2 linked regions of the Xenopus tropicalis genome follow. The main gene of each other region encodes a partner of the protein of the gene in region 2 in a complex. Links are inferred from orthologs where the notes say so. Each region holds a gene or a part of one and is shown on either strand. Other genes may lie near its edges. The genes, in order: gabarapl1 and nbr1.

Region 1 (4,273 bases), on a different chromosome or scaffold from region 2:
TGCAAGTACAGCAGCTCTATGGCTTAAATAACTATATGGATATTTTAGTTGCCCTTTACAACACTACCATATTTACCCCCATATGTAATAAAAGGCACTACGTTTGCCCGGGAGCAGTAACCCATGGCAACCAATAAGATGTTTGCTTTTAAACACATGACCAGTAAACTCAACCTCCTGGTTGCTATTACTGCTCCTGGGGAAACTTAGTGCCTTGTATAACATATGGGGGATAGATTACTAATTAGCCCTGCAATCTCTTCTATAATGTATAAATATTAACATTTTATAGAATCCACATTAAAGCTCTTGGTTATATGAAAGATACAAATATAAGGATATTATAAGTCACTTTGACCATATAAAAACACAAGGCCAAAGACATCATTAAGCACTGTTTATAAGGATATATGTTAAAGGAAACTCATGGTTCTTGTGTATTACAAGGATATTAACAGTTACATATGAGACCCATAGCCATATAAACGCACAAGGACACAGGCTGAGCACTTTTATACAGGTCAGGGAACTCAAAATTGTAAGACAAGTCACCGCGGGGGCTCTGCACCCCCCCCCCAAGGGACCTCCACCATGGTCCCCATCACCCTCGGGCCCCTGCTGCCCACCCAACCCCCTCCCCCACGCGTGCATACTTAGGCACATTGGGAGAGGGGGACCTGCGGGCCTCGGAGAGCCCAGCAGGGATCAGTTCTGGGCCAGTGGGGCCCACCACGTTTTTGTCCTGCCAGCCCAGTCCGACCCTGCATGTAACACAAATGACATCACTGAGCACCGTTTATAACTAATGACATCACTAAGCACTGTTTATAAGGATATCAGTTACAAGATATTCATAGCTCTTGTGAATAACAGTTTATGACCAGGGGACCGGACAATAACGTAATTATTATATACAGGGGGGGAGCAGGAGAAGGTCTGTCCCTGATGACTAGTATTACTAATGTATTTACCCTGGGAGAAGAAGACAAACATGGGCATTGTAGAAAGGCCTATGCCTCCCCACCTTGAGATAAATCCTTCTTAGGGTGAAGACACACAGAACTACTAGTAGCAGCTACTTGTCTTGGCTACTAAATTAGACAATGCTGATCATTTAATGAGCCGTGAAAAAGTAGCTGCTACTAGTAGCTCCGAGTGTGTATAGTCGCTTGCAAGGCAGGACAAGGCTCTGCAGCCAGAGTATGTATGTATGTATGTATAACTTTATTTATAAAGCGCCACAAGGGTACGCAGCGCTGTAAAATCTTACAATATACACAATTACACACAGGGAGGACAAGTGATATAATAAATAAATACAATATATATATATATATATATATATAAGTGCCATGTGGTATGAGACACAGTGGGAAGGAGGTCCCTGCCCCGTAGAGCTTACATAAGTGACAGTACATGGTTCTGCAAGCTCTGCGGTTAGGGAAAGTGACAGTCAATAAGTAACTAGACAGGACAATGTTCTGCACCAAGGGAAAGTGACATGCAGGACTCGCACTGCTGGGACTGATATAATGAGGAGCTGTAGCCTGGGAGGGGGGTATAAAGCTACAGATCTATAGCAGGGGGGGGGGGGCAGTGTATGAGCCAAGGAAAAGGCAGCAGGTGACAGTCAGTGGCTCTGCAGTGGGGGCAGCTGACAGCCAATGGCTTTGCAGCAGTGGCAGTGACAGTCCATAGCAACAGACAGTACATGTTTCAGTGGCAGCAGAAGGTGACAGACCAGGAATCGGAGGAGGGGCAGGTGACAATGAGTGGCTTTCTTTCTTACAGATGTCTCTAACAATGACTGCGGCCCATAGGAAGTCTGGCAGAGAGCACAAAGCTCCCTACCGAAGGAACAGCACAACTACAAAGCTCTGTGCCGTCAGCAGAAAGCCAAGGAATTAAAGGGGAACTCCACCCAAAACCTGTTTTACGCACACTGATAGCAAATGTCATTCTAAGCAGCTTTCCAATGTACATTCCATTTTAATGGTTTGTACTTAGTGTAATTGCCGTTGAAATTAACATTAATTTCTCCCTTTCTGCCGCTTCCTTTCCAGAGTTGAAACAATGTAGCAGAAGTCCTGCCCGCCCAGGGGCTGCTACATTGTTCCATTGTCACAGGAGGAGTTCAGAGAATAGGAACAGACGGTACTTCCCATAGCAATGACATCGAACACCGAAATACTATAACAAATGTACATGGGAAAGTCGCTTGGAATTACATTGTCTTTCATTGTGCAATAAGCAGTTTTTGGGTCGGAATTCACTCTAAGGGAACCCATATCTGTGCTGACAGGGGGACATTAGGGTGCTGTACAGATGCAGTGTGGGTAGGACAGGGATACAAGGGATACAGAGTGGGTAGGACAGGGATACAAGGGATACAGAGTGGGTAGGACAGGGATACAAGGGATACAGCGTGGGTAGGACAGGGATACAAGGGATACAGCGTGGGTAGGACAGGGATACAAGGGATACAGCGTGGGTAGGACAGGGATACAAGGGATACAGAGTGGGTAGGACAGGGATACAAGGGATACAGAGTGGGTAGGACAGGGATACAAGGGATACAGCGTGGGTAGGACAGGGATACAAGGGATACAGTGTGGGTAGGACAGGGATACAAGGGATACAGAGTGGGTAGGACAGGGATACAAGGGATACAGTGTGGGTAGGACAGGGATACAAGGGATACAGAGTGGGTAGGACAGGGATACAAGGGATACAGTGTAGGTAGGACAGGGATACAGTGTGGGTAGGAGAGAGATACAAGGGATACAAGGGATGGAGAGTGGGATCCATAGGGAGATGACACAGCTCTGCTGTCCCTACTTACAGGCACCCTATCCGGGTATTTCTTTCTGATCTTCTCGCCCTCCTTCTTCCTGTATTCGAAAGGATGATCCTCCTTATACTGGAATTTCATGGCTGCCCCAGGAGATAGTGTATATACAGTATATAAATGTATATATCAGTCAGCTGATGCCCCTCGCTGTCTACTGCTCAGCAGATGCAATAACAAGCTATGTTACAGTGTACTGAGCAAGGGCAATGTGACATCACTAAGCCCCGCCCCTGGGCAGTACCAGCAGAACAAAACAAAGGGGGATGCTGAAATTAACCTTCTCTCTGCCAGACAGGACAAATGAAAAATAAACAGTCTCAGTTTAAAGAACCCTATAGCTCGCAGGCGCTGAAATCATATTCCAGGGTTTTTAGGGTGGGGGTTAGTGGGAAGGGTGCAGGCCAGGATGAGATATAGTAAATAGGCAGTGGCACAGGGCATGGCAAGTGATTGACACGCAAACCTGTTTGTCTGAGTCACCTGTTTATTCTCTGTGGATCACGTGAAAGCCAGAGTCACAAGGCAAGGTGACACAACAGTACAGCACTGCGGTACATAACACTATTAACCTGCGACTGGCCAGGGACCTGGGCCTCATTATTAACCTGCGTCAGAGAGCGGCCAAAGTCCCTGTATAACCACTTCCGGCCATTGATCTGTAGCCCATAATCTATTCCCTGGCGCCGAGCCACACTTTCACTTATACCAGCGCTTCTCAACCTGTGGGTCGGGACCCCTTTGGGGGTCGAACAACCCTTTCACAGGGGTCGCCTAAGAACATCAGAAAACACATATTTCTGATGGTGTTAGGAATAATTTTATGGTTGGGGGTCACCACAACATGAGGAAGGTTGAGAACCACTGACTTATACCCTTTCTGCACTGCTGGTTCTGACTGTCGTAACAAAATAACAGAAGCCGACTGATTAGCAGACCTGGAGGAGAACTGACTCCTGCTACATTGTTTCAGAACCAGAGAACAGGAAAAGATAAACCAGCGGTTCTCAACCTGTGGGTCGGGACCCCTTTGGGGGTCGAAGGACCCTTTCACAGGGGTTAGGAATCATTTTATGGTTGGGGGTCACCACAACATGAGGAACTGTATTAAAGGGTCGCGGCATTATGACGGTTAAGAACCACTGACTTATACCTTTTCTGCACTGCTGGTTCTGACTGTGGTAACACAATAACAGAAGCCGACTGATTAGCAGACCTGGAGGAGAACTGACTCCTGCTACATTGTTTCAAGAGTCAGAACCAGAGAACAGAAAGAGATAAACAAACACAGCTTTTAGCTGAAATTTCCTTTACAAATAACTTGAAAATCACAGAATGTGCACTGGAAATTTGGATTGTTTTTCATTATGCAAAAAACTATTTTAGGGGTGGAAATCCCCTTTAACTTCCTCTCTGTGACAGAAG
Region 2 (3,821 bases):
TCCCTGTCTCTCCTGTTTAAAGGACATGTACATTTTCCTAAAGCAAATAGTAGCTTTTACCCGGTGGCCATTTTTCCTCTGATACATAATCAGATACATTTAAATCTGCAAGCAGCATACACACACAGAGATCCTTATTCAGCATACATTTCATCCACAATACAGGCTCACACAGGCAGAACTGTCAGATAAAAGTTCTGCTTTGTTTGAGCTGAGCTCAGGCGAGAAAGTTACGAGAAAAAAATTGAAGCAGACAGCTAGAGCTGAGTTTCTATGGGAACCAGCAATGCATCTCTTCATTGGCTGCTAGACTGGAGAGCGTGTTTAGTAATCTGAGTTTAGAACAACTGAGCATACCCACAAGCCAGAAGTCAAAGCAAATTCCTGAGGGACAGGGCCAAGTGGGTTACAGGAGGAGAAGGAAATCGAAGTGATTAAGGAGATGTTGCAGCCTTACTATTAACCTCTGGACAACCAGTGTGGCAGGTATTGAAAGATTTCAAAGAGGCTGTTTCACTGATTAAATTTTTGTGTGCGGGGATTACATGTCCTTTAATACCATCATGAGGGGGAGGAGAAAACTACTGAAAGTAAGCAATGCTGTGTGTAATATATCACATATATTTAAGGGTATGTACCACCAGGTGTTTTCAACTGAAAGTGAATTATGGTGGATTTCCATGTGATTCCACCTGCCCATGCCCATTGTACCCATGCCACATGATATCTACTCCATTGGGTACAGATCTGCAACACAGATGAAATCAGTTAATGTTTATTTCTCAGTGCACAATTTAAAAAGCCAGATTTTGTACCCTAAAAGAGAACTAAAGCTTGAAGTACAGTACCTTTAACACTGTACTAGTACAGGTATCGGATCCCTTCTCCAAAAACCCGTTATCCAGAAAGTTCCGAATTAAGGAAAGGCCATTATAAGCAAATAATTCTAATTTTTAAAAATGATTTCCTTTTTCTCTGTAATTATAACACAGTACCTTGTACGTGATCCCAACTAAGATAGAATTAATTCTTTTTGGAGGCAAAACAAGTCTATTGGATTTATTCAATATTTAAATTATTTTTAGCAGACTTAAGTTTTGGAGATCCAAAGGATAGAAAGATCCCTTATCCAGAAAACCCTGGGCCCCGGACATTCTGGATAACAGCTCTTATACCTGTAGTAATTTAAAGGTATATCAGTTGATGGCTGTATTAATCCATTCCTTTGAAACTGTATACAACACCACTGCATCCATCTTTTATTGGTCTGATGGCTCCCTAGTTCCCGAAGCATGTACAAACTCAATTGGATATGGGGTCCTGTACATAAGTTTTGGCAAGGACGGCTTGATTAACTGATGTTCTAAAGTACTGTTTAAAGGGTTGATTTCCCCATCATTTAATAAAACAAGAATTTTAGGTTTCTAAGTAGTAATCAGTTTGTGTGCTGCATCGCTTGGTGAGATTTCTTTCGACAGTTAAGGGGTTTCCAGTTTTAAAGGGGTGAAATACATGTTTCCAAACAAGTGGATCTTTTCTCAATGTAGCCACATACGTGCTGGGCCAAATCAGGCTGACCCTCTTGTTTTGCCACTGAGTATATGAGCTCTTAGGATATTTCTGGAGGCATGTATATATAAACACATGAGGTGCAGAATTTATATAATTATTTGGGGGTATTCCTCTGCTTGGATATTGCTGGGCTAATTGAGTGCATGTTGCTGCATATACATGAAATCAACTCACCTCTTCGTTATCCTCATCTATGTATTTGATTTGGATGCCATTTAGATCATAAGAGACACACACCTGTAAAATACAAACACTAGCGGTTTTGTTGGCATTAGGATATAAGGAACTACACAACAGGAGAGATAATTCTTATTTCTGTTGTTAAATATAACAATATTGTGCTTACTCTTATGGACAAGGTTAATTTACCAGTGGAACCAGGCCCAGCCAGACATTATGAAACTCTAGCAGAGGGGCTGCTATAAACTCCCACAGAGCACATTTAGCCATGTGGCCTTTGTGCTCCTGTTAGGAGAAAACAGCACCAGACGGGGTAGTGTAACAGGTACGGTAGACAATCCTCTTCTATCTCTTCATTATTCTAAAACCCAGTGTCAGCGCATGTGCAAAAACATTGGTTTTCTTGTTAAAGTTCAGCTTTTCACTCTACTGCACATTTGCAAGCGTTGTGAAGACAGAAGAAGTAAGAAGATCGCTACCCCAGGCTGGTGCGGTTTACTCCTAACAGGATTAAAAGGTAAGCGATTACAATCACTGGGGGTGCTTAACATTTGGCACCCCCCAGTGATTTTTACCTCTCCTTTAAAATATCATAGCCTGTTTTGAATTTAAGTTGAGACATGAGTGGAACCCTACACTGATTACTATTACCTGGGGCGCTGTGACATACATAGCCTAAATGGCCTATGGGTAATATGGGTTACACAGGCATAATGTCACTACCTTATGCATGAATAGACCACTGGAACACATTGAAGGGCAAATCTATAACAATTAACGGCTCGGATAAGAACAAATGTCTTCAAAGCTAAGGAGAAAGTGTAATAAAAGGTGCAACTTTGACGGTCCGTTCCCTATAGTAACCAATCAGCAGGCAGCAATTACTGATCAGCTGATTGGGTGCTTTAGGTAACCAGACCTGGGCAAACTTTGCACCTATTATTACATTAAGCTGAATTAGCAGGACTACAAATGCGAATGCATCCATATTATCCCAAATATTACATAAATACCAATATCTGTTTTACCAGTACTTACCATTGTCTCTACATCAGCCCAAGTTGTATTTTCAGAGTCAGAAACCAGAAAGTTTTGGGATTCTCCATTATAATTCACACACAAATTCACCTGGAACTCCATGCTCTCTGCTCTGCAATACACATCACACTAGTAAGCATTTCACTGGTCATGTATCATTTCTGCGTGCATAGAAAAGACACAAAATAAATCAATGAGTATTGATCATTTACCAAGAATTGATAATTCTGCAATGGAAACATAGACTTAGCTTGAGCTGATACATACAAATTGTAATGCCAATTGTATATACCTGCACAAAGTTACTTTGGGTTGAAAAAAGACCAGAGACCATCATGTTCAAACCTTCCAAGTAAACCCAGCACACACAAACTTATACTGACCTATCTATACACTCAAATACATAAACCATATATACCAACATCAATACTAACTGTAGATTTTATCACAATAGCCTTGGATAGTTATGCTTGTTTAATAAATCATCCAAGCCCCTCTTAAAGGCATTAACAGAATCTGCCATCACAACATCACTGGAAAGGGCATTCCACAACCTCACTGCCCTCACCTTCACTGCCCTCACTTATGCTGCTTCAAATGAAAGTTCCGTTCCTCCAATCTAAAAAGAACATCCCCTATCTGCCTATAATGCCCTCTAATGTACTTGTACTGAGTAATCATGTCCCCTCGCAAGCACCTTTTCTCCCCAGAGAAAACAACCCCAACCTTGACAATCCAACCAGCAAGACAGAACTTTATTTGCATTAGTAGCCACTGAATGGCATTGACTGGAAATAGTCAACTTGTTATCTACAACAATCACCAGATCCTTCTCAATTAAGGATGCCCCAACACACTACTATTTAGGCTATAAATTGCATTTATATTATTTCTACCAAAGTGCATAACTTTGCACTTGTCAACACTGAACCTCATCTTCCATTTTCCTGTCCAGTTTTCCAATTTTGTCAATCTCTTTGACAAGAGGCAGCATGCTGCATGGAACTTATAATTTTGTACAATTTAGTATC

The links.
Region 1: the proteins of nbr1 (region 2) and gabarapl1 are in contact, whole or in part, in an NMR structure (PDB 2L8J), measured with the Homo sapiens proteins. The link is inferred for Xenopus tropicalis from reciprocal best matches to the Homo sapiens genes NBR1 and GABARAPL1. Residues at the interface, in NP_005890.2 of Homo sapiens: Ser729, Glu730, Asp731, Tyr732, Ile733, Ile734, Ile735, Leu736; in NP_113600.1 of Homo sapiens: Glu12, Tyr13, Lys16, Glu17, Lys20, Ile21, Lys24, Tyr25, Arg28, Pro30, Lys48, Tyr49, Leu50, Val51, Pro52, Phe104.

Annotation. Positions count from the first base shown.
Region 1 is NC_030683.2:18,818,032-18,822,304, forward strand, and holds the start of gabarapl1 (gamma-aminobutyric acid receptor-associated protein-like 1), read right to left. Parts: upstream 3,016-4,273; 5' UTR 2,933-3,015; coding exon 2,843-2,932; intron 1-2,842. UniProt on the Homo sapiens protein: Ubiquitin-like modifier that increases cell-surface expression of kappa-type opioid receptor through facilitating anterograde intracellular trafficking of the receptor. Involved in formation of autophagosomal vacuoles.
Region 2 is NC_030686.2:19,621,037-19,624,857, reverse strand, and holds part of nbr1 (next to BRCA1 gene 1 protein), read right to left. Parts: intron 2,952-3,821; exon of another isoform or gene 2,903-2,951; 5' UTR 2,893-2,902; coding exon 2,791-2,892; intron 1,810-2,790; coding exon 1,747-1,809; intron 1-1,746. UniProt on the Homo sapiens protein: Ubiquitin-binding autophagy adapter that participates in different processes including host defense or intracellular homeostasis.